Linked DNA regions of Callithrix jacchus. The protein of the gene in region 1 interacts with the protein of each later gene in a pairwise test. Links are inferred from orthologs where the notes say so. Each region holds a gene or a part of one and is shown in the gene's direction. Other genes may lie near its edges.

What was found.
Region 2: the proteins of ARRDC1 (region 1) and WWP1 interact in binary tests that used the Homo sapiens proteins (3 or more experiments, as listed by UniProt). The link is inferred for Callithrix jacchus from reciprocal best matches to the Homo sapiens genes ARRDC1 and WWP1.
Region 3: the proteins of ARRDC1 (region 1) and ITCH interact in binary tests that used the Homo sapiens proteins (3 or more experiments, as listed by UniProt). The link is inferred for Callithrix jacchus from reciprocal best matches to the Homo sapiens genes ARRDC1 and ITCH.
Region 4: the proteins of ARRDC1 (region 1) and WWP2 interact in binary tests that used the Homo sapiens proteins (3 or more experiments, as listed by UniProt). The link is inferred for Callithrix jacchus from reciprocal best matches to the Homo sapiens genes ARRDC1 and WWP2.

Annotation. Positions count from the first base shown.
Region 1 is NC_133502.1:185,955,378-185,962,219, forward strand, and holds the start of ARRDC1 (arrestin domain-containing protein 1), read left to right. Parts: upstream 1-3,185; 5' UTR 3,186-3,214; coding exon 3,215-3,332; intron 3,333-6,842. UniProt on the Homo sapiens protein: Functions as an adapter recruiting ubiquitin-protein ligases to their specific substrates. Through an ubiquitination-dependent mechanism plays for instance a role in the incorporation of SLC11A2 into extracellular vesicles.
Region 2 is NC_133517.1:40,635,731-40,641,852, reverse strand, and holds part of WWP1 (NEDD4-like E3 ubiquitin-protein ligase WWP1), read left to right. Parts: intron 1-2,103; coding exon 2,104-2,237; intron 2,238-2,326; coding exon 2,327-2,467; intron 2,468-4,659; exon of another isoform or gene 4,660-6,122. UniProt on the Homo sapiens protein: E3 ubiquitin-protein ligase which accepts ubiquitin from an E2 ubiquitin-conjugating enzyme in the form of a thioester and then directly transfers the ubiquitin to targeted substrates.
Region 3 is NC_133506.1:4,854,248-4,860,369, reverse strand, and holds part of ITCH (E3 ubiquitin-protein ligase Itchy homolog), read left to right. Parts: intron 1-2,771; coding exon 2,772-2,929; intron 2,930-4,270; coding exon 4,271-4,466; intron 4,467-6,122. UniProt on the Homo sapiens protein: Acts as an Acts as an E3 ubiquitin-protein ligase which accepts ubiquitin from an E2 ubiquitin-conjugating enzyme in the form of a thioester and then directly transfers the ubiquitin to targeted substrates.
Region 4 is NC_133521.1:27,374,293-27,380,414, forward strand, and holds part of WWP2 (NEDD4-like E3 ubiquitin-protein ligase WWP2), read left to right. Parts: intron 1-4,286; coding exon 4,287-4,434; intron 4,435-4,775; coding exon 4,776-4,897; intron 4,898-6,122. UniProt on the Homo sapiens protein: E3 ubiquitin-protein ligase which accepts ubiquitin from an E2 ubiquitin-conjugating enzyme in the form of a thioester and then directly transfers the ubiquitin to targeted substrates.

The DNA of each region.
Region 1 (6,842 bases):
CTATCTAATCTGAAACTTGCTCAGACTTACTTACCCTGCCTTGTCCATTTTCACCCTGAGGAAAACACAAAAAAGGCTCTGGGCCATGCTCTCTCTTGGCTCCTCAGGACCCGGGTTCTTCCCCTTCTGGCCGTGCGTGGTGTAGCGTGGCCCCTCCTGCTGGGAACTACAAGTATTAAATCCTTCCTTTGTGGCGCATGTCTACCAGTCTGTCTCTTTACATACCTGATTCAAACAGAGTCCAGTAAATGTTAGGATATAGAGTATATCCTGGTTCTCCCCCTTCTGGCCCTGAAGGGAGGTGGATTGCCTGTGTGGGTTCTGAGCACTGAGAGTTCCCACACTCGGAGGTGGAGAGCATGGCTGTGAGTTTGGAGCTAAAATCACCAAGAAATGAGGAGGCCGACCAGAGCGAGAGAAGGTGCTGCTGGTTCTGAGACCGGGAGACTTGCATACAGTAGCTCCCAGGGTGGAGAATGGCCTGGGAGTGTTAGGAAGGACCCAGGGGGCTCCCACCCCACCTACAGACCCAGAGGCAGAGGACCTTGGGAAAAGAAACCTCCACACCTGAAAGCTCCAGGGGAAGCCAGTTTTTCATTAGAGTGCGGTGGAAAGAATGCTCAAAGAGTCTAATGACAGGGTGGTTGGTGCTGGTGCTGGTTTCTGGGATACAGGATGGGTGACAGATGGGGCCATAATCAAGGATGTGCAGAGCCCTGTGGGGCTTAGATTGTGGCTGACCTGGGATAAAGGTCACCTGTGTTCTGTCTGTTTTCTTCCATCTCAGTAGCTTGCAACACAATCCCTCTCTCCCTGCTTGAAACATGTTTAAAAAAATTTTATTTATTTATTTATTTATTTATTTTTGAGACAGAGTCTTGCACTGTCACCTGGGCTGGAGTACAATGGCACGATCTCAGCTCACCGCAGCCTCCACCTCCTGGGTACAAACAGTTCTCCTGCCTCAGCCTCCCAAGTAGCTGGGATTACAGGCATGCATCACCATGCCCAGCTCATTTTGTATTTTTAGTAGAGACTGGGTTTCTTCATGTTGGCCAGGCCAGTCTCCAACTCCCGACCTCAGGTGATCCGCCCACTTTGGCCTCCCAAAGTGCTGGGATTATAGGTGTGAGCCACCACTCCTGGCTTTTTTATTTTTAGTTTTTTGAGACAGAGGCTTGCACTGTGGTGCAGGCTAAAGTGCAATGGTGTGGTCTTGGCTCACTGAAACGCTGCCTGCTGGCTTCATGAAACTCTCCTGCCTCAGCCTCTCGAGTAGCTGGGATTACAGGCACACGCCACTACACCTGCTTAATTTTTTGTATTTTTAGTAGAGATTGGGTTTCACAATGTTGGCCAGACTGAGCTTGAACTCCTGACCTTATGATCAGCCCACCTCGGCCTCCCAAAGTGCTGGGATTACAGTCGTGAGCCACAGCACCCGGCCAACACTTTCTTTCTGACTTCTGGCATGGCTGACTGCCATTCCGGGGGGGTTGTCCATAATCCTTGCCATTCAACTGCACTCTTCTCTCTTGTTCGGGAATTCTGCCTGTGTATAGTCTTGTCAGGAAAGTGTCTGGATCATGGCCAGTCAGACTCACCTCCTGAAACATCAGAATCCCAAGGGAGCCAGCTGGGACTGGGGCTTCAGAGTCTCTTCCATCCAGGCCCGGGCAGGTGGGGGGGAGCTCCTACAGCCTGTGAGCCACTCTCCTTTTGCTGGGGTGCCAAACTCCTCCTCCTTGACCTGTTACCTTCTACCAACCAGAGATGGCAACGTTTTAGTGCTTGGCTCCTAGGCTCATTCACGGAAGTAGCTGGTCCACTTGGGGATCAGTGGCACCTCAGACTCTGCATGTGATGACTCTCCCACCTGCAAACCGCGTGTGTCTAGGCCCGTCCTCCCCATCAGAGAAGGCCACCCTCTTCGCCTGCTGTCCTAGAAAAACTCGCAGCAGTGGGGCCCGCCTCACCCACTCCATGGTGAACTGGTCCCAGGCAAAGGCCGCCTTCTCTCTCTGGGACTATCCAATGGGACTCTCCCCACTTAGGTCCCCAGGGTATTTGAGTCCCACCCCCGGCGGCTCAGTCTTTACAAAGGGACCTTTAAAAAAGATAAATCGGAGTGTGTTCCTCCGGGTCTCAAGTAATCCAAGTCCCCGCCCCACCTGGCCCCTGACCCCTCTGCTGCGGACCCCCGCCCCGTCCAAGTGTGGCTCCTTTGGGCCCTGCAACCCATCAGGCCAACGGGGGGGCGGGGCAGGTACGGGGAAGACCGCGGTGGGGGGAAGCCCGGGTGGGGGAGAGGCGCCGAACAGGTGTCGGAGGGCGGTGCCGGGGACGGGGCAGGTGCTGGGACGCGGGGTAGGTGCGGGGAAGGCGGGGGGTGCAGGGCAGGAGCCGGGGGTGGGGGTCGAGGCCGGGCAGGTGGTAGGCGGCGGAGCCCTCCGGCCCAGGACGCCGGCGCGGCCCCGAGACGTTTTTCCGCGACCTGGGTTGATGAAGAATGCATGAAGGGGCGGGCAGAGGGTGGGGGCGGAGACCGTGGGTTTTCTGCGGGGAGCCCTCCTCAGTCCCAGAGCTCGCCTCGGCCCGCCCCCTCCCCGCCCCTTCCCCGTCCCCCGCCCCGCCCCCTGACAGAGGCGCGGCGATGACTCCCTCAGTGGGGCACGCAGGGGTCGCTTGCGCCGCAAGTCCCTTAAGTGGCGCCCGACGCAGCGTGGCCACTACCCAGGGGGGCGCGGGCCCGGGCCTGGGCCTGGGATGGATGAGGGCTGCCGGGGTGGGGTGGGGCATGGCGGGGGCAGGGCCACGCGGAGGAATGGGGCGGGGAATAGGGGCGGGGCCGGACCTCCGAGCCGCAGCCCGCGTGCGAGGGGGCGGCCGGGGGTGGGCGGGGACGCGCCAGGTTGGGCGGGGCCGGTAGGGACTGGATGGGGCGGGGAATAGGGGGCGGGGCCGGACCAGGTTGGGCGGGACCGGGAGGGCCTGGATGGAGCGGGACATAGGGGGGCGGGACCGGACCAGGTTGGGCGGGACCGGGAGGGCCTGGATGGAGCGGGACATAGCGGGGCGGGGCCGGGCCGGGTTGGGCGGGGCCGGGAGGGCCTGGATGGGGCGGGGCATAAGGGGGGCGGGGCCGGGCCTCCGAGCCCTGTCCGCTGGCCGCCGGCGGGGGCGTCACTGCGCGGCGGGCCGGCGAGGCCGCGGCATGGGGCGAGTGCAGCTGTTCGAGATCAGCCTGAGCCACGGCCGCGTCGTCTACAGCCCCGGGGAGCCTCTGGCCGGGACCGTGCGCGTACGCCTGGGGGCGCCGCTGCCGTTCCGAGGTGGGCGCGGGTCCTCGGGGAGGGCCGTTGGCCGCACCTGCGCGGGGCCGGGGCTCCCGGAAGCGGCTGCCGTCGCGGGGCCGGGGGTTGGGTCCGCGGAGTCGCTGTCGCCGCCGCCCGGGACTGCTGGGGCGCGGGCTTGGCGGCGCCGGGGAGGTGTGGGCGGCGCCGCCCTTCCGCGTCTGCTCTTCCTGCCTTCTCGCCGAGGGGCAGCGGGGTTCCGGCGGGGCCTGAGGCCAGGGCCTGAAGCGGGTCCGCTGTGAAGCCGCCCTGAGCGGGGCGCACGCAGGCCTGGGACCCTCCCGGTCCGCGCTCGCACCTGCTGGGCACCTTCCCGCACCCGGGCTCCCTTAGCCCGCGCGCCCGTTGCAGAGCGGTTCCTGGCCCGGGCGTGCGGTCCCGGCAGGGCACAGACACCTGCTGCGGCTCCCCGCGCCCCGGTCCCCCTCTCGCAGGCCTCGGGGCCGGCCCCCTGCCGAGGCGGACTCCCGGACTGGGGATCGGGTTGCTGCAGTGGCCGCTGGCAGCGCGCCCTGGAGGTGAGGCAGGCCCGCGAGGTGAGGCTGCTTTCCCAGCACGGGGCCTCCGCGCAGGCCTCTGCCTGGTCCCTGGCTGTGAGCGCCGCGTCCTTGCCGGGGGCTTCTGTACCTCGGCCTCCTGTGGGACCCACCTGGGCTGCTTGGTCTAAGCCGCTGCCCCTGCGCTTCCCGCTGGACCTTGACCGCTGGGCCTCCGCGTGGGTGACAGCACCGCTGTGCCTGCCGAGGACCCACAGCCTTCGTTCCGTCCTCAGCCGCCTGCGACAGGTGGTGGTGCTGTGGCCCTGCCCTCGCCCCTGCCCCGCCTGAGGCTGTGGATCCCGGGAAGAAGCCAGGTGGTAGGCGCTTCTGTCAGGCTCCTGGGCCTGTTGGGCTTCCTGGGTTGACCCCATGGCCTCCGTTTCTCTGTTCGCACCTTGCGTTTGGGGTCTGGGGGGTGCAGGTGTGGCTGTGGCAGGGCAGAGATAGCACACGTATCCCTTGGGTACAGGTGAGGTGTGAGGTGAGGTGGGTTGGATCCTAGCTGAGGGGAGCACCCTGCCCTGCCGTCCCTCCCCTGGGGCGAGAAGGCTATTGCTGACCACAGGGAAAGGATGGCCTTGTGGTGCGTGACTGGCCTGAGTGGGCAGGCTCCCCTGGGCTGCATGGGTGGATGCATGGACGTGGTGCACGCCTGTAATGCCAGCACTTTGGGCAGATGGCCCAGAAGCTGAGGGAGCCCTGGCTGATGGTCCCACCTCACAGAGGATGGTCTGAGTGAGGGAGAAAAAGGAGGGTCATCAGCGAGGGAGTAGAAGGGCCCTGATGGGCCAGAGAGCTGATGATTCAGGCTGCTGGAAGTGTGGTGGAGGGCTGTGCCCAGGCCCCTCGGGAATTTTCCCCGGCCCTGCCGGGGATGGGAACAGAATGACCCTGGTTTCTTTTCCTCATTCAAAGGATGTTTTTTTCTGTCCTGCTAGGAGCCAGTAGGGAGGCCCTCCACCCCCAGGAGGACAGCAGGCTTGCCTGGCCCCAGGGCTTGCTCACTGATTCTGTCTGATGAGTGTTGGTGACAATCAGCACCCAGACATGGACACAGGCTGCCTTCAGGGCTGATGCAGAGGGAGGCCTGGGAAGGAGCAGTTTTCTGTATCCCAGGCTGGCCCATTCCAGGGTTGGGGGTCAGACAGGACCACCCCATGTTCTGCTGTTACTGGGATGGGTGACCAGGGCTGACAGTGGCTCTTGGAGTGCTCATGTGTGGGCCCGATGCAATTCTCTGGGTCCCACGGGCCAGCCTCACTCACCCTCAGCACCCTGGAAAGTGGTACGGTTATTACTCTCATGATACAGATTTGGAAACAGGAGAGGGGAATGGCTCACAGGTCACAGCTTCCGTGGCAGGGGTGAGGCCTGTGAGATGAGGATGAGGATGAGGAGTGGGTGGCTCTTCATGGTCCAAGTGCAGGTGGTACAAGGGAAGGGCTGCTGAACAGCTAGGGGCCTCAGCTCGAGAAGAAAGTTCCAGTGGTTACTTGAGAACACGGCCCAATCTTGATCTTCCTTAGAATCAAAGCAGCCTGCAGCCTCCAACAGCTTGTCGTTGGTTGTGCATCTGAACACAGGAAACCTTTTTTTTTTTTTTAAGAGACGGAGTCTCACTTTGTCGCCCAGCCTGGAGTGCAGTGGCGTGATCTTGGCTCACTGCAACCTCCACCTCCCAGGTTTTAGCAATTCTGTCTCAGCCTCCTGAGTAGTTGGGACTACACATATGCCTGCTATACCTGGCTAATTTTTTGTATTTTAGTAGAGATGGGGTTTCACCGTGTTGCCCAGGCTGGTCTCAAACTCCTGAGCTCAGGCAAATCTACCCTCCTCAGTCCCCCCAAAGTGCTAGGTGTGACTCACCACACCCAGCCAGGAAACTTTTTGTTTGAGACAGTCTCACTTGGTCACCCAGGCTGGACTGTAGTGGCACCATCTCAGCGTACTGCCACCTCTGCCTCCTGGGTTCAAGCGATTCTCCTGCCTCAGCCTCTTGAGTAGCTGGGATTACAGGTGCACGCCACCATGTGTAGCTAATTTTTGTATTTTTAGTAGAGATGGGGTTTCACCATGTTGGTCAGGCTGGTCTTGAACTCCTGACCTCTCGATCTGCCTGCCTTGGCCTCCCAAAGTGCTGGGATTACAGGCTTGAGCCGCCGCGCCCAGCTGGAAACATTTTTTGAACCTGTATGAGGGAGGAGGGATGGGGCTCCAGGGCCCCTGCAAAGAGGTACAACCTTCAAGTCCAGAAGGCGGAAGAAGTCACACTGACTAGGTGACTGCCGCTGAGCCACTCAGTCCTGCAGCCAAGCCCTGCCCGGAGGCTTTCCTGTTTCGAAAGGCTAGGTTCCCTTCAGCCTGTGCTACCATCACAAGCAGTCTGCAAGCTGGAAAGAAGAGGGAGTGGGGACACATGCCTCTCCAGCAGCAAGGAGACCCCTCACAATGGACCCCATGCACTGCTCTCACTTCTCTGTGGGCAGAACTGCATCTTATGGTCCTGCCTGATTTGACCATTTAAAAGAGAGAAACATGGCTGCTGCCATTGGTTTGGCCGGTGACAATGGGCTTCCTGGGGAATTCACCCAGCCCGAGCTGAAGTAGCTGCTGAGAGGCGGAGGAGCAGCTCCAGGTGTTTTGGCAAGGAAGCAGCTGGCAGCTGTGTGGGAGTCCCGTGCCTCCCCTGTTCTTACTGAGGAGAGCATGGGCAGCTTAGGACAGGTTTCACTTTGGACAGTGGTTGGAGGCTGCTCACTCTGGCAGAGTCATCCAAAAGAGCCTTGGGGTATGTGCAAAACCGGGTTCTCTGCATGGGTGTTGGGAAGATCGCAGAGCCTGGCCATGTAGGATGACCCAAGGGTCAGTTGGATACTGTTTGTTTTTGTGAAGTCAGGTGTCCCATGATGGTTTTAGTGATGCCTTGCTAGTATGAGCAGTGGTGTGTGAG
Region 2 (6,122 bases), on another chromosome or scaffold:
AATCTTTAGAAAATTCACCTAAGAGTTGACTACGGCAGTGAATGATATGATGTAAGTAACATGATCTGACTTAAATGTTATTAAGCTTGCTTTACCATTATGTAGAAGACAGACTATACTTGGGGGCATAGGAAAACACAGCTAAAAGCAGGAAAGCCATTTGCAACAATCCACGTGAAAGATAATAGTGGCTTGGACTTGTGTCTTGTAGCAGTGGAGGAAGTGAGAAGTGGTTTGAATTCTGGATATATTGCAAGTTTAGAACTAACAGAGTTTTCTGACAGATTAGATGCAGGGTGTGAGGGAGAGTCAAGTATGGCAACAGTATTTATGGCCAGCTTGTCTGGTTGCAAATTTTGGATATGGAGGAAATCAGGAATATTTAGGTTTGGCTCTTTAAGTCTGAAGTAGATATCCAAATGGAGATGTTAAAGAAATAGATGGAGGTATAAGTCTGGCAATTAATGGATATCTAGTTTAGAGATAGGCATTTGGGAATTCTTGGCACACAGAGAGTATTAAAAGTCTATATGATTGTTTATAATCACTATATAAATTCATTCCTTATGAATTCTGGATATTAGACCTTTGTTGGATCCACGGTTGTTTAATATTTTCTCCCATTCTGTAAGTTGTTTGTTTACTCCCTCTCTTGCTGTGCAGAAGCTCTTTAGTTTAATTACGTCCTACTTATCAATTTTTGTTTTTGTCGCAGTTGCTTTTCAGGACTTAGCCAGAAATTTTTTTGCCGAGGATAATATCAAGAGGACATTTCCTAGGTTTTATTCTAGGATTTTAATAGTTTTAGTTCTTACATTTAAGTATTTAATCCATCTTGAGTTAATTTTTGTGTATGATAAGAGGTAGCACTCTAGTTTCATTCTTCTGTATATGGGTAGCCAGCTAGGGGATCACATTTGGAGGAGACAAACATCTAAACTATACTACCAAGTTAGAGGATAAAGAATTTAATAAAGTCAGAATATAAGGAATATGAGAGCAATGAGCTTGAGTTGGAGAGAGGAAGAAATTTATTTAGCACACGTACCAAGTAATAGAAAGATTACCCATAATAAGATTATATGGATTCAGATGCTAGTAGTGAGCAGATATAGTAGAATATACAAAAGTTCTCTTCTGGTTGTTTCTGTTTCCCTCAGTGAAATAGAAAGTAAGGTCATCAACTCAGAATGAGTGGGGAGAAGTAAATATTTGAGGAAAGAGGAGTAGGAATGACATAGTCATCTAGGAAAGTAGGAGACTGAATGCAGTAGGGAAATGTGATTACCAGGAAATAGACCAGTAAGGAAATATGACTGTTGTTCATGGAGCAGTCATCTTGATTGTTTATGCATTTCTAGCATGTTCCATTGCCTAGATACAGGCATTTAGTAACTTGAGAGTTGAACTTAGCTAGGCTTGGGATTTTGCTAGAAATACACTGGTGGAGGTAGGGTTTGAAGGGAATTATTTTTAATGATTGACTGTGGAATCTAAACTGAGTAAGGGGAGATATAACTTCATGAGGGGGCTAAGGTATAGTGTTAATAGCTTCAGTGGATGTTTTAGTTTTCCAAAGTTGCTAGGAGTCTGGGGCTTCCCATGCTGGTTATTGTGAATAGGAGTGAAGGCACAATGGGGTTAGTCCTAAAAACCTCACAGGCAATGGTGAGAATAAGAAAGGAACAGGAGAGTGGCCTTTTCAGGTGCACAGGGCCCTTCTGCACTCCTTATCCAATTAGGTTAATTTAATTTATAAAGCATTTGGGAAGATTGAGGCAGGGTATGGTAATTAATAGAAGTCCTTTATCACCCTATACAGTTTTTGATATATATATTATAGCTATGTGTGTAGTAATAGAAGTCCTTTATCACCCTATACAATTTTTGATATATATTATATAGCTATGTGTTATAAAATAGATTTTGTTTTAGCTTTTTCATACCTAGCATTTTATATATTTTAATTTTCATATTTTATGTCATTCACTTATTCAAATCTTCATTTACTTGTAAAGTGTCATGATTTTTCTGTTATCATTGTTTTCTAAGAAATTGTTATTTTGCAAATTTTATTATAAAATGCTTTATTTTTCTTTGCAGGCATTATTTCATGGAAAGTTTATCGATACTGGTTTCTCTTTACCATTCTACAAGCGTATGTTAAGTAAAAAACTTACTATTAAGGATTTGGAATCTATTGATACTGAATTTTATAACTCCCTTATCTGGATAAGGTTTGAAGATTTTTGTTTTGCAATAAGCCATTTTTTTTGAAACCCATTTTGTTTCATTTTGTTAATTATTGTATATATATTTCACTCAGAGATAACAACATTGAAGAATGTGGCTTAGAAATGTACTTTTCTGTTGACATGGAGATTTTGGGAAAAGTTACTTCACATGACCTGAAGTTAGGAGGTTCCAATATTCTGGTGACTGAGGAGAACAAAGATGAATATATTGGGTAAGGTGATATACCATATTAAGCTTAATTTCTAGAACATGTCAGAACTAAATCCTCTGTCTGTAGCCTTAATTGCATTCCCTTTTCACACTTTTGGGAAGTTCTTCTCACCAGTACCAATGTTCTTAAAAAAAAGAGAATCTATGTTGACCCTCATTTTCCCACTGCCATTTGCTGTGACCATTCTACCATTTCCTTTTCCATATCATTTCCCCTTTTTTAACTTAGGCTTTTAAATAGTGTTCACTACAGCCTCTTTCTTGAAACTCTCTGTTTTCTTGAATTCCGTGGATCCTATGTCATACTGATTTTCTTTACTTTCTTGTTTTTTTTTTTTTTAATTTTGTTTTTAGAGAGGGTTTCACTCTGTCACTCAGGGTGGAATGGTGGCGTGATCATAGCTTACTGCAGGCTTGACATCCTGGGCTCAAGCAATCCTCCTGCCTTAGTCTCCTAAGTATAGGCTTATACTACCATGTCCAGCTAATTTCAAATAATTTTTTTTTGGTAAAGACAGGGTCTCATTGTATTGCCTAGACTGGTCTCAAACTCTTGGCCTCAAGTCATCCTCCTCCTTCAGCCTCCCAAAGTGTTGGGATTACAGGCATGAGCCACCACTTCTGGTCACTTGCTCTTTTTTAATGGCAGTTTTCTAAATCTCCTATTTCTTAAATATAGACCTTTTTCCAAGATGTTATTGCAATCTGCTTCTCTAAATAATTTGCTAACATAGCATCAATTTTCTGTTAAAGTTATATCTAAACTTTAGAAATAATTTCCATTTGCCAGCCAGGTAAATCCAAAGATTTTCAGGAAAGAACCAGGCAGTAAACTTTTTAGACTTATTTCAACTACTCAGCTCTGTGGTATAGTGCAAAAGTAGCCATAGGTAGTGTATAAACAGATGTGTGATTGTCTTCCAGTAAAACATTTATAGACACTGAAATTTCATTTTATATAATTTTCATATCCTAAAATACTTTTAATATTTTTTTAAAAATGCAAAGGCTATTCTTAGCTCACATGCTAGACAAAAAAAAAAAGATGATTAGGCCCACAGGCCATAATGTGCCAACACCTGAACTACAGATGACTCTTAAATGTAATGTGTCTAAAATCCAACTTTTCATTTCTCCTAGCTGTTGCCTCTTACTGATTTCTTCTATAAATAGACTACCATTTTCACCCTCTTAGATTCTAGCTGTCATCTGTCTCTTTCAGATTCTTTGTTTTTTATATTTGTTTTGAAAAATGGATTGGATTATACACATTACTCTGTAGCTTACTTTTTTTCGTCTTAAGGACAGTACAGTTAAATCTAACTTATTTTCTAACAGCTAGGTAAATTGTGGTGTATGTATTCTATACTTTTCAGCTATTCCTGCCAATAGAGATCATTTAGGTTGTGTCCAGTTTGGGCCACTGCAAACAAGACAGCAGAAAACTTCCTTAAGCATGAATCCATACATCCTGCTAGTTAGTTTTGTGGGCTAGATTTTTAAGAAGTGAAGTTACTGGATCAGAATGCTATGTGGCTTTATAAAATGTCATAGCCATTCTTTTTTCCCTTCTTAACTTGTAAATTGCTATGACCTTTCAAATTTACATCCTTAGTGTATCTGCTTACTAAGTTTAATGTACCCTTCTTAGCTTGGCATTCTCAGCCTCTTCTTTTTTCTGCTAAACCAGAAAAAAGTGAGAGAAATTACCAATAACTGATTTCTTCTTTTATACCTTTGTACTCTGTTAGGTATTTTTATTTTGTTTTGTTCTCCAATGTGCATTTATTATGCTAACTGGAAAAAAACAGGAACACTATATTTTGAGGAAAATATATTCACAAAGATGATACATAAAGCACTGGACTTTCTATATTTGTTAAACCTGAGACTTCCACAAAGTCGAACAAAAATAAATAACACAACCTGAGCAGTTAAAAAAATGCTATCAGGGCTTTCAAATATCAAAAGTGCTCTAAATAAAATTTTACCATGTAAGATTTATATTTACTTTCTGTTAAGCACTGTTTCAAGATATTTTATCACTTTAATACTATTGATAGCTAATCATGAATGCAGTAGTTTTTGGAAGATTTTGTTTCAGTCTCAATAACAGACTTCAGTTTCTTTAATCTTGCTCTTGAAAATTATGTGATAACACTCTAGTTGTGATTTTTTTTTTTTTTTTTTTAGTGCACAAGATAGGCCATCAGTGAATCTATAAGTAAATGAATGGTAGAAATGGATATGAAGTACTACTGGAATCCAAAGTGGGAAGAGAACTATTATTTCTGCTGGGAGGAATCAGGAAAGTTCTTCATCGGACACTGTGTATTAAGTTAGGTCTTAAAAGATGCATGGGAGGCTGTTGGCTCCTGCCTGTAATCCCAGGACTTTGGGAGGCTGAAGTGGGTAGATCACTTGAGCCCAGGAGTTCAAGACCAGCCTAAGAAACATGGCAAAACCTCATCTCTACAAAAAATAAAAATAAATTAGCTGGGCATGGTGGCGTGCACTTATAGTCCAGCCACTAGGGAGGCTGAGGTGAGAGGATCACCTGAGCCCACAGAGGTCAAGGATGCAGTGAAACCAGGCAAGAGTGAGACCCTATGTTAAAAAAAAAAAAGAAGATACATGAAAGTTTGCCTTCTAGAGGGAGATGTTTTTGGGACAGGGAAAACAGGAAGAGCAGAATTGATGTTTTAAGGGGATTCGTTGATGGTGAGAATTAGTGGCTATAATGGAGCCTACAGTGATAGCCAGGTTTAAAATTACCTTGGTTTAAAATTTGGTTGAATAGAGGTGAGAAAGTGAAAACACTGAGTATGTTGTACTCTTATAATGAGTGTGGTGGTAAAGAGAGGAGAGAGTAATTTTAAAAAGACACTGGGTTAAAGGGTTTTGGGAAAAGAATAGTCTGAATACCTATGTGGACAAATGGGAAGAAAAGTTGGAGTTGAGGATATGGGACAAAGAGGGTTTAGTAATTGAAGAAAAGTTTTGGAGGCAGCCTTAGAAAAGCATAAGGCCAGCTTCCTCTAGGAAACAAAAAGAGTTGGAAATGGGAGGAGTGTGAATAGCTTGGCTTTTTTTTCATCTGCTATAATCTGTGTATGAAGTGGTGTATGTTGCTTCTCTAGGAAGACCTTTCCAGATCCATCTCCTTTTGGAATCCCCTTTTACAGACTTTGTGTCATACAGATTTTCTTCCTTATTTCCTTTCTATCATACTTCCCTGCTCTTACAGCTGCTTTATATATGTCTCTTTAGAATGTTTTGTTTCCATCTTAATTGAGTTCTTCTGTTCTAGTTAGGAAATCTTCATATTCTCCAAAAAACCATAAACAGGTAAAGAACCTGTTCTCCAGCCTTAAGTCCTCAGACCGTAAACCTACACCAGCACATGGCTTGTTGACATATGGTCATTGCATAGTGAGATAATCCCTTGCCTCCCTTGAGTCAGAGTCCTCAGGTCTGTCATGGCAATGCTTGTTGTAAGATGAGCCTATTAAATGACTAGCTATTCCCTTCCCAAGTGAGCACATGATATTTGTACTTATTTGTCTCGATATAAACAGAAAATAATTAGTGCTAGGATTTGGCTGTCTTACTAGTGAAAAACTTCCTATTTATTTTCTTTTTTCTGTTTTTTTTTT
Region 3 (6,122 bases), on another chromosome or scaffold:
GCTACTTTACTTAGTTTATTTACTCCACTAAAATATACCTGACTTCTCACCTGGAACATTCTCCAGCATTATTTGTTGGTCCCAGAGAACAGTAGTGAAAAAAGTAAATGAGGGATTAGTTATGGTGAAGGAATTTCCTGGAGGGGAAGCAGATGGGGGAAAGGTGAAGGAATTGAAGCTACTAGGGAAAGTAGCCTGTGATGAAGCCCAAGTGAGGCGTGAAGCAAGCTGATGGACTGTAAAGATTGTGGGAAGAGTTGAAGGTTATGATGAGACTGAATAAAAGGTATTGTAGGAGGCTGGTAGAATGAATACGAAGTTGTAGTTAGAGGGATTTTGGAGTTCAAGATCTAGGAAGAGGAACAAATTAAGTATCAAGGAAATTTAAGGAGTTTTACTACATAGGTTGTCAGATAACTACATTGAAAAATTGAGATCAAAATGTTGGAATGATGCACAGCATGGATGTTAAAATCACTCAAATTTTAATTCCCAACAACTAATCATAGCATTTTGGGAATCTGCTGTACCTTTATCATGGTAGGTTTATCTCATGCTCTGAATGTTCCCCCTCCCTCACATTTCCCTAAAACTTGTCTAGCACTAGATGTGCAATTTAGTATGAATTTTTCTAGCTTAACGACTTTTAGGAATCTTGTAGTCAAGATAATACATTTTAGGGGACATTCATTGGTCACATAACTCAACAGTAGCAGAGTCAGAGCTAGAAACCTTATTTTCCCATTTTTGGTTTATTCTAGTTGTCATCTGTTACTTAAAAAGCAGCAAGAACTCTTCTTTCAAACTAATTAGGAACCTCTTAAAATAGCATGGAGAGGCAATATGCAGTCTTAAAGTGGTTTGGAAACCTTACTTAAAGGAAGGGAAGCAGTGTCAAAACTGACTCTTTTCAGACCATATTCTGCAGGTAGTCAACACTAATCAGGTACTGACTGTCAATTACTGAGGTGTTCCATCTATTAAAGACAAGCATTTAGGGAACCCTCAAAGCAGTGCTTGTCATACCTTACTGTCCATATATATAATCTGGGGATCTTATTAAAATGCTAGCTCTGATATAGTAGGTCCAGAATACTTCTGAAGAGTGTGCATTTCTGACAAGCTCCTCGATAGTGCTTGTCCTTTTGGTTTAAAGACCACACTTGGAATAGAAGGGCCCTAAAGGATTTCTGTGGTACATAGTTCGAAAATGTCTTAAACTACGAGGATGGGCACAGTGGCTTATGCCTATAATCGCAGCACTTTGGGAGGCTGAGAAGGGTGGATTTCTTGAGGTCAGGAGTTCAAGACCAGCCTGGGCAACATGGTGAAAACCCATCTCTACAAAATCTACAAAAGAATTAGCTGGCCACGTTGATGGGTGCTTGTAGTCCTACCTACTCAGGAGGCTGAGGCATGAGAACTGCTAGAACCTGGGAGGCAGAGGTTGCAGTGAGCTGAGATCATACCACTGCACTCCATCCTGGGCAATGGAGTGAGACTCTGTCTAAAAAAAAGATGACTATGTGAGGAGAGAGAGATGTTAATTAGTTTGACTGTAGTAAGTTTTTTCACTATGTATATCAAAATATCATCTATACAGTTTTTATTAAAAATAAATCATTGCCCTTGGACAACCCTTCAATCAATCTCTCGATGAACTTCAGGGGTTACATAGGATTCTATCCAAAGGCTCTTTATGTATTTAATAAGGCTGACCAAAAATTAAAAAGCTTTTTTTAAGCTCCTAAAATCTTAGAAGTTTTCATCCTCGTGCTGTTTTTTTTCTTAAATTCAAAGGGCATTTATTATTTTTCTCTCACTCCTTTGCTTAAGTGATCTTCCCACCTCATTCTCCCAAAGTGCTGCACTTGCAAGTGTGAGCTACAGCACTCAGCCTCTGTTAGTTGAATCTATTAGGTTTTATTTTGTTCAGGCTTATTCTGAAATTCCTAGTAGTATGGATTAGTACTGTGTAGTGGTTTGGAGGTAGTACATACAAGAACCTTGGCTGAGACATCTGCAGACTGGCTACTTATGTCCTTGTTTCTAATCCATGACTAGAACCCCTCTGGGAGGAAAAAGAATCAACTATATTTAGCCAACAGTAGCAGTAGCTTTCAGTCCGATATTTCCTGTTAGTGTTCTTCCTTCCTTTCTGTCCCTTCAGTTGATGTTATTGCTTTGAATAAATGACAGCTCCTTAAAAAAATGGTCTGTGGTTACTTCTACTCTATATCACTAGCTTTGAACATTTTGTGTACCATTGTACTGAGTGGGGATGTCAGGGCCTAGTCCCTGGGAAATACATGCACTTTGTTCTAGCATGGGAAAATCAGCCCTGCCTCAAACTTGAGTATTAATAAATAGCCAATAGAAACCAAAAAACAACAATGGTAAAGTTATCTGCGCTTGTGATAAAGTAGTGCCCTTTTTAAGGATTTTGAGAACTTGACTTTATTCCTGTTTATGTAGGGCTTCCTGAAGGCTTATTTGAAATACGAACCAGCATATCTAATAGTTCTGAACGGCTGCAAGTGTTTCTATGCCCTTGGACAACCCTTCACTCTATCTCTAGATGAACTTTGGGGGTTGTGTAGGATTCTACCCAGAGGCTCTTTATGTATTTAATAAGGCTGACCAAAATTTAAAAAGCTTTTTTTAAGCTCCTAAAATCTTAGAAGTTTTCATTCTCTTGCTGTTTTTTTCTTAAATTCAAAGGGTATTTATTATTTTTCTCTCCCCCTTCCTTTTCCCGTCTTCTTACCCAGAGTGAGCACAAATGGATCAGATGACCCTGAAGATGGAGGATCTGGTGAAAATAGGAGAGCCAATGGGAATAGTTCTCCATCACTCTCAAATGGCGGTTTTAAACCTTCTAGACCTCCAAGACCTTCACGACCACCACCACCTACCCCACGTAGACCAGGTTTGTATTCCAGCTGTCAGTACTCTAATAAATAATGTTCTGGTTGGCAGTTAATCCTCAGGTAAGTTTCAGGAAATTCTTTTCGGTGAGTTTTCTGTGTGTGTTTTTGCATTTAAGATTTTGGCAAAGAATGATCTTTCTGTAGTAACCAAAAGTGCCTTTTTCCTAAGTTTCGGGTCAGAGTGACATTACTGAGGCAGTGCTCTATTGAGAATGAAAATGACATGTGCATAATATAAAATATAGGCAATACAGATAACATTGCAATAGCATTTCTTACATGGTTTGTAACTGTAACATAAACATATTAAGTAAGTAGTCAAGGATTTGGTTGCTTAATCCGAGTATATTCTTTAAAAAGTTAGTAAATGACAAATAACCCAACAGTGCTAAATGATTCAGATTTTAAATAAAAAATGACACAACAAACAAGCCTTTTTTGTTTGTTTGATTGATTTTTGAGTCAGTTTCACTCTGTCACCCAGGCTGGAATGCAGTGGCACAGTGTCAGCTTACGCAACCTCCGTCTCCTAGGTTCAAGCAATTCTCCTGCCTCAGGTTCCCGAGTAGCTGGGATTACAGGCACCCATTGCCACACCTGGCTGATTTTGTATTTTTAGTAGAAACGGGGTTTCTCCATGTTGGTCAGGCTGGTCTCAAACTTCTGACCTTAGGTGATCTGCCCACCTTGGGCTCCCAAAGTGCTGGGATTAGAGGCATGAGCCACCATGCCTAGCCCCAAAGTACTGGAATTACAGGCATAAGCCACTGAGCCCAGCCTCCTCTTCCCCTTTTATAGGTAATTTGGTTAACAGTATGTTCTGAATCTTTAAGATGTCTTAGTTATAATATTGGTGACTTCCTATAGACATTGTTTTCACAAGTATTTCTTAAAGATGTAATACATGACTAGTAACTATTTGTAAGAAGATTATTGTTTATCAGTCAGACCTTCCACATTATAACCAACATCAAAAATTGGTCTGTAATCTGCAGGGATTCATAGGAAAGCAGTTTTAAGGAGCTGGAAAATTAATAAATGAACTTAAAATACCAAGGAATATTAATGCTTTTCTATACATTTTTATCTCCTCAGATAATATTCACATGCCTTGTAATTAATAATGGGATGTAGGGGTAGACAGGGCCGAAGAAGTAAACAAGCCTATTAAGAGGGAGTATTGATTATTTCTTATTATTTCTTTAAGTAATTTTCACCTGTGTATCCAAATCTTAAGTTTTATATTTATCATCTGCCTTTTTATTTTTTACAGTTAAAATTCTATCCTGAATTTTAGAAAATAAAAGGTTCTTTTCCTATTTTCTTCAAATCTTTTATAGCATCTGTCAATGGTTCACCATCTACCACTTCTGAAAGTGATGGGTCTAGTACAGGTTCTCTGCCAATGACAAATACAAATACAAATACAAATACATCTGAAGGAGCAACATCTGGATTAATAATTCCCCTTACTATATCTGGAGGCTCAGGCCCTAGGCCATTAAATCCTGTAACTCAAGCTCCCTTGCCACCCGGGTGAGTAACTTTAAACATACATTGTCTTTAGGCTTTTGGCTACTTCATATACTTACTAACAAGGAAAATAATAGTAAACTCCATTGTTTCAGTAACTGAGATGGAGTCTTGCTCTGTTTCCCAGGCTGGAGTGCAGCAGTGAGACCTTGGCTCACCGCAACCCCCGACCCCTGGGTTCAAGCAGTTCCCCTGCCTCAGCCTCTCTAATAGCTGGGATTATAGGCGTGGGCTATCATGCCTGGCTAATGTTTGTATTTTTAGTTGAGATGGGGTTTTACCATGTTGACCAGGCTGGTCTCAAACTCCTGACCTCAAGTGATCCTCCTACCGTAACCTCCAAAATTGCTGAGATTACAGGCATGACCCACTGCACCCAACCAACTGTTTTTATGTTATAACTGATTTGGGGGAATCTGGAGTCAAAATGAACAAGGAAAATACACCATATTTGAAACCCTGTCTTTTGTTTTCGGGGCAAAGTGGAAAAATATATTTTTTCACCAAAGGACCCTGAATGTTAACCAAGGCCAATTAATAAAATAATCACCTAATTCTAGTTGCTTTTTCTTTGAAGGGGAAAATCCCTTTTTAAAATCAAATTTTGTTTTCATCATAAAATCATTATAGGCTGGGCATGGTGGCTTATGCCTGTAATCTCAGCACTTCGGGAGGCTGAGGCAGGTGGATCACCTGAGGTCAGGAGTTTGAGACCAGCCTGGCCAACATGGTGAAACCCCATCTTTACTCAAAGTACTCTAATTAGCTGGGCATGGTGGTGGGCACCTGTAGTCCCAGCTACTCAGGAGAATTACTTGAACCTGGGAGGTGGAGGTTGCAGTGAGCTGAGATCACGCAATTGCACTTTAGCCTTTGTAACAGAGTAAATCATTATCGCAAAATGATAGATAATTCAGAAAACTGAGAAAATTTCTGCTCATAATCAATCCCATTTTAATCTCTACTGATTATTTTAAGATTATTTTTAAGATATTCAAGTGTAGTTTTTTGTTTTTTATTTTGCTTTTTTTGTTTGTTTGTTTGAAATGGAGTCTTGCTCTGTCGCCCAATCTGGAGCACAATGGTGGGATCTTGGCTCACTCCAACCTCCACCTCTCAGGTTCAAGTGATTCTCCTGCCTCACCATCCAGATTTGCTGGGATTACAGGCACCTGCCACCTATACCTGGCTAATTTTTCTTTTTTTTTTGAGATGGATTCTTGCCCTATTGTCCAGGCTAGAGTGCAATGGTGCAATCTTGGCTCACTGCAACCTCTGCCTCCCAGGTTACAGTGATTCTCCTGCCTCAGCCTCCTAAGTAGCTGGGACTACAGGTGCTTGCCACCATATCCAGCTAATTTTTGTATCTTTGATAGAGATGGGGTTTCACCATGTTTGCCAGGCTTGTCTTGAACTCCTGACAAGTGATGTGCCTGCCTTGGTCTCCCAAAGTGCTGGGATTACAAGCATGAGCCATTGCGCCTGGCCGTTCCTTTCCAGTCAAATCCTGACTGTACTCTGATTGAGAGTGATTTTGGTTTACTATGTAGACCGACCTTAAGCCTCTTTAGAAACATGTTTTCTCCTAGAGCAGATACTTGCATAGAAGAAATTGAATTCATTGTGTGCCACCCTCTGATGTTTACATTTCTTCCCTTT
Region 4 (6,122 bases), on another chromosome or scaffold:
AAGTGTGGATATATACACACACACATACATACATGGAGACATAGATGACATTTATCTATAACCTGTGGTGTCTAATAGAATAGTCACTGTAGTCACATAGAACTATTTACACTTCATTAAAATTATCTGACATTTAAGAATTGTATCCTATTTGCACTAGCCATATTTCAAGTGTCAGTAGCCACATGTGTCTCATGGGAGGGTATTGGACAGCACAGGTGTGGAATATTTCTTCATCACAGAAGTTCTCTTGGGTAGTGATGCTGTAGACACACACACACATACACACACACACATACCAACAGAAAGCAGATGCGGCAAAATGATAACAATTGGTGAAGAGTATACAGTATTTATTGTTTTATGTCAACTTTTTTTTTTTTTTGAGACAGACTCTTGCTCCATTGCCCAGGCTGGAGTGCAGTGGTGCAATCTCAGCTCACTGCAACCTCCACCTCTCGGGTTCAAGCAATTCTTGTGCCTCAGCCTCCTGTGTAGCTGGGACTACTGTGTTGCCCCACCATGCCCAGCTAATTTTTGTATTTTTAGTAGAGACAGGGTTTTGTTATGTTGCCTGGGTGGGTCTCAAACTCCTGGCCTCAAGTGATTCTCAGCCTCCCAAAGAGCTGGGATTACTCGGCTTCAAAATAAGAATACTAGCTGGGCGCGGTGGCTCACGCCTCTAATCCCAGCACGTTGGGAGGCTGAGGTGGGTGGATCATCTGAGGTCAGGAGTTCGAGACCAGCCTGACTAGTATGGTGGAACCCCATCTTTAAAAAAAAAAAGTAAATAAAAAAAAAGAATACTAAATGCCACATACACGATCCTAGTTGGGGACCCACACCAGAACAAATCTTTGTTTCTTTCCTTCTTTCTTGCTCCTTTGCTCTCTTGCTTTTTTTTTTTTTTTGCTATGATGGGCATTGATAGGACAATTGGCAAAGCGTGAATAAAGTCTGTAGATTAGATCTTAGTATTATAAAACATTAAATGTCCTGATTTTGATCATTGTGCTATTGGTTATGTTAGAAAATGTGTTTGTTGGGAAATATACCCAGAAGTGTTTAGGAGTAAAGGGGCACAACGTCTACAGCTTACTCTCAGAGTTTCAGGAAAAAATGTGCATGTGTATGAGCACAGAGACTCCTTAACTTACAGTGGGGTTACATCTTGAAAAATCCATCCTAAGTTGAAAATATTGCAAGTTGAGAATGCATCTGACACTCCTAACCTGCCGAGTGTCATAGCCCAGCCTAGCCTACCCTAAATGTGCTAAGGATACCTGAATTAGCCGAGGACACTTCCATAACCTGCAGCTAGGTGAGATGATCTGGAAAAGCAGGATATGGCCGAGTATCAGTTGTTTGCCCCATGATCACGTGGCTGACTGGGGCTTGGGCTCACTGCCTCTACCCAGAGTACTGCATGTGACTATTCGGCAAAAAGACCAAAATCCAAAATTTAAAGTGCGGTTTTTTACTGAATGCATATCCTTTCCCACCATTGTAAAGTCAAACGCCCTAAGTCGTGCACCATTTGTAGTCTCCATTTTTTAAAGGCATGTAGATCCATGCTCTTACCACCAGGTGGCCTCAGTTAACCTTGGTCCGTGCGTTAATCACTGCGCCTCATTTTTCTACCCTGGGCCATGCCTCAGTATCACAAAATTTTATTCCTAGTACTGTCCCCTTGTCGCTTCTGAATCTTAGCCACAGCTGATTTTTAAAAATCTCTTGACTTCCTCCCTTCTGTTCCTTTGGGGCCTGGAGAAGACAGTTACTGCTATAAAAAATCTGAAGGTGAATTTGGCCTTTGCTGAGTTGTAGACACCACTGTAGGACTGTCACCTTTGCGAAGAGTCTGGAAGGGAGAGATTTGCTTATACTCAAACAGGGAAGCTCAGGCTAGCATAGTCTTGCCATCATGGGCAAGGGAGCATCAGTTGTATCTCTGATTTGGGGCAGGATGGGAGATGTCTAGATGTGTTTCACCCTGGCGACCTGGTGTTTCCACCTTGGGTGATGTACACTAGGATGCCTATCTAGCTCCTCATCATGATGCTTGCTAAGCTCTGTGCTCCGTGAGTCAGTCTTTGGTTTGCTGGTCCCAAATGAGTATCAGAATTGTTGCCACATGAGGGCTATGAGCAGAAGTAGAAACATAGATGGCTAACGACACATGGAAAAAATATTCAACCTCAGCGGCCCACCTCGGCCCTCCAAAGTGCTGGGATTACAGGCGTGAGCCACCATGCCCAGCCAATTTGTAACTTTTAATGGAAATAAAGATAATCTTCTTAATATTTCACATTAGATAAATTAAATCTAATATTCCACAGAGCAACAATAGAACAAATAAGTAAAGTTCAATAATGATATGCAGCATGGTGTGGAATCAGGCTGGCTAGGTGCACAGTCTGGCTTGTGGCTCCCTGGCTATATAGCCTGGGGCAATGACCTCGCCTCTCAAGCCTGTTTTCTTCTGGGTAAGATGGGGTGATAATGTATTCCCTGCCTCATGGGTTTGTTGTGAGAATTCAGTTAGAAAATGTATGCACATGGCAGAGTGTCTTTAGTAAGTACTCATAAAATCTTAAATATTATTTTTATTGCAATTAAAATTTATAAATTGGCCATGCATGGTAGCTCACGCCTGTAATCTCAGCACTTTGAGAGGCTGAGGCAGGTGGATCACCTGAGGTCAGGAGTTTGAGACCAGCCTGGCCAACATGGTAAAACCCCGTCTCTACTAAAAATATAAAAATTAGCCGGGTGTGGTGGCATGCACCTGTAATCCCGGCCCGAAGGCTGAGGCAGGAGAATCACTTGAACCCAGGAGCGGGAGGCTGCAGTGAGCCAAGATCGCGCCATTATACTCCAGCCTTGGCAATGAGAGCGAAACTCTGTCTTACATATATATAATATTTATTTATTTATTAGATACGGGGTCTTGCTATGTTCCCAGGCTGTTCTTAAAACTCTTGAACTCCTGGGTTGAAGGAGTCCTCCTGCCTTGGCCTCCCAAAATGCTGGGATTCCAGGCATGAGTTACCATGCCCAGCCTTAGCTATTATCTCACTATGTGTTTTGTTTTGTTTGTTTGCTTTTTTTTTTTTTGAAGACGGAGTCTCACTCTGTCGCCTAAGCTGGAGTGCAGTGCCATGAGCTCGGCTCACTGCAACCTTAGCCTGCCAGATTCAAGTGATTCTCCTGTCTCAGTCTCCCGAGTAGCTGGAACTACAGGTGCCCATGCCCATCTAATTTTTTGTATTTTAGTAGACATGAGGTTTCACCATTGCTCAGGCAATCTGCCAGCCTTGGCCTCCCAAAGTGCTAGGATTACAGGCATGAGCCACCGCCCCTGGCCTACACTATGTGTTTTTAACTCATGTGATTTGTAAAAGTGAAAAAGTGTAGCCCTCTGGTAAATTGAATATACTCTGGTGTAGCCCTGATGGTGGGGGCTCCATGGGTTTACCTTTCTTGGAAAGGAATGGGCAGTTTTAAGAACTTTAAAAAATGTTCATGTCGGCTGGGCGCGGTGGCTCACGCCTATAATCCCAGCACTTTGGGAGGCTGAGGCGGGTGGATCATGAGGTCAAGAGATCGAGACCATCCTGATCAACAAGGAGAAACTCTGTCTCTACTAAAAATACAAAAATTAGCTGGGCATGGTGGTGCACGCCTGTAGTCTCAGCTACTCGGGAGGCTGAGGCAGGAGAATTGCTTGAGCCCAGGAGGCAGAGATCGCGCCATTGCACTCTACCCTGGGTAACAAGATCGAAACTCCGTCTCAAAAAAAAAAAAAAAAAATTAAAAATGTTCATGTCCTTTGGAGGAATACTCAAGAAAGGCATGCGGATGTATACTTTCACAATAATTTCCCCAGAGTGAATAATTGCAAGAAGTCTATTCAAAAGTGAAAGAATATGGGCTTGTATTATAGTCGTTTAAGATTGACTTATGGGGGTGAAGAACTTTTAAACAATTGAAGAAATAAAAGATGAAAATCTAGAAGGCAATTTCCCAATGATAAATTGGTAATGATGGTCACCGGCGGTTATCCCAGTGGTTTCAGGTTAGGGATGATTTTTTTTCTTATATTTCATATTGTTTTGTGTGTGTGTACTCACCTTTCTTTAAAAAGTTTTTAAAATCAAGACAAAACAAAAGTTACTGATTTATTTTTTTAAAGAAACAATGAAAAAGAGCTGGAACATCTGCCACAGGGGGGCATCTGGGAGCCCTGGGACTCATCTTCGACTTTTTCGTTCTTTCTCACCCAGTGGTGTCTGCAAAGCCCAAGGTGCATAATCGTCAACCTCGAATTAACTCCTACGTGGAGGTGGCAGTGGATGGACTCCCTAGCGAGACCAAGAAGACTGGGAAGCGCATTGGGAGCTCTGAGCTGCTCTGGAATGAGATCATCATTTTGTAAGCAAAAGCTTCTTTTTGCGGGCAGTAAGATGGGGGAAAGAGAGAGGGTGCTCCGAGGGGGTTGTGGGAGGTACAGATTCCCTGCGGTACCTCTGACTTTTTCTGCCTGTGGTACCCAAGATGCCTCTCTTTAGGTGTTCCTACACCATTGAGCTCATAGAGCGTTCATTATTAGCTAGAGGGTTACAGGGTCAGCTTTGAGGGGGGCAGGGATATATGTGGGTATCTGTCTGTTTTGATTCCCCCTCCCCAAGATGTCAGCAGTTTAGTTTAACTGTTTTCTTCTAAGTTATAGGAATGATTGCTTGGATGTAGTGAATCAGGTATCTGTTTCCCAGGAATGTCACGGCCCAGAGTCATTTGGATTTAAAGGTCTGGAGCTGCCATACCTTGAGAAATGAACTGCTAGGCACCGCGTCTGTCAACCTCTCCAATGTCTTGAAGAACAATGGGGGCAAAAGTATGTATGATGAATGGGATGCCGACGTGATTCATTGGTGGGGATGGGAGGACCTGGCAGATGAACCTGATGCTGGAGATTTCCCCAGGACTAGGGGCTGTGGTACCTCTGTTCTCCTTGGATGCCGTCTTTGGAGTTTTAGGAAGGCTGAGGACTCCTCTCTACCTCCTTGCAGAGTTTAGCTCTCTTTGCCCAGGTCCTCTATTAGTGGGATGCAGTGGTGTGTTACCCTTGATCCTTCCTTAGGGACTGGAAACTTTCTGCTCCTCTTCCCAATGCGGGAGATGTGTAATATGTTGAATGAAACTGTCAAATGCCTCTAACCTAAATCATTGCTTTTCTAGCCTGAACCCTAAAACAGAACAAAGGAGCTGTGTGCATGTGTGTGTATGTGCATGTGTGTGTGTGTGTGTGCACGTGTGTGTCTGTTTGGGACAGTGTTACAAGTAGTGCCCTGTGCTTACTCGGCATTCAGTAAACATTTACTGGACGTTGGAATGTGATGGAAACGCCGTCTGAATTAGCCAGCATGCCTGTACATCATGGACGTATAAATCCTCATCTATTTATTGCTGTTTGTGGTCAGTGGCATGGCCCATGGCTGTGGTTTTGGACCCTCCTTCATAAAGACTCTATTCAGAGCGGTACCATATGTGGCGAATGAATGGCATGGAAAGAAAGGCTCCTTTTTCTCTCGATGTCTACAAAGTATTTTCTGAAAGTGGATGTAGCTTAAGAGAGTGGCGGGGGTGGGGAGCGTTGAGTCCCAGTGAGCGTGTTGCATTGATTTAAGAGTCTTTCTTTTCTTTCCAAGCCTGTCCTTTTAAGCGATGGGCCACTTGAAAGGTCTTTGAGCCTCCTCTAGTCTTTTCCTTTCTGCTGGGTACATAGAGATGTGCTGAACCCACTTTGGCCTGAGGAATTGTTGAAGACCAGAGATGCGCCTCCTTTTAATCCTGCAGAGAACTCCCTGATTGCTTTGTCTTCTGAGTTGGTGTTTATTTTCCTGAACACTAGCCAGCCTTTTGTAATTTGATCATAAGGGAAAATTCTATTTATTGCGATACTTGGGAAATATACTTGAGGATAGCCTCACATTAGGATGCAGCAACCAGCATGAGCGTCCTTTTTTCTTCTTCATTTGCCCAGCCAGTATACTTTTGCTTTTGACTAGCAAAAGTTATTATAGAGACTGTAAACTATGGAAAAGCACAGATACACAAAT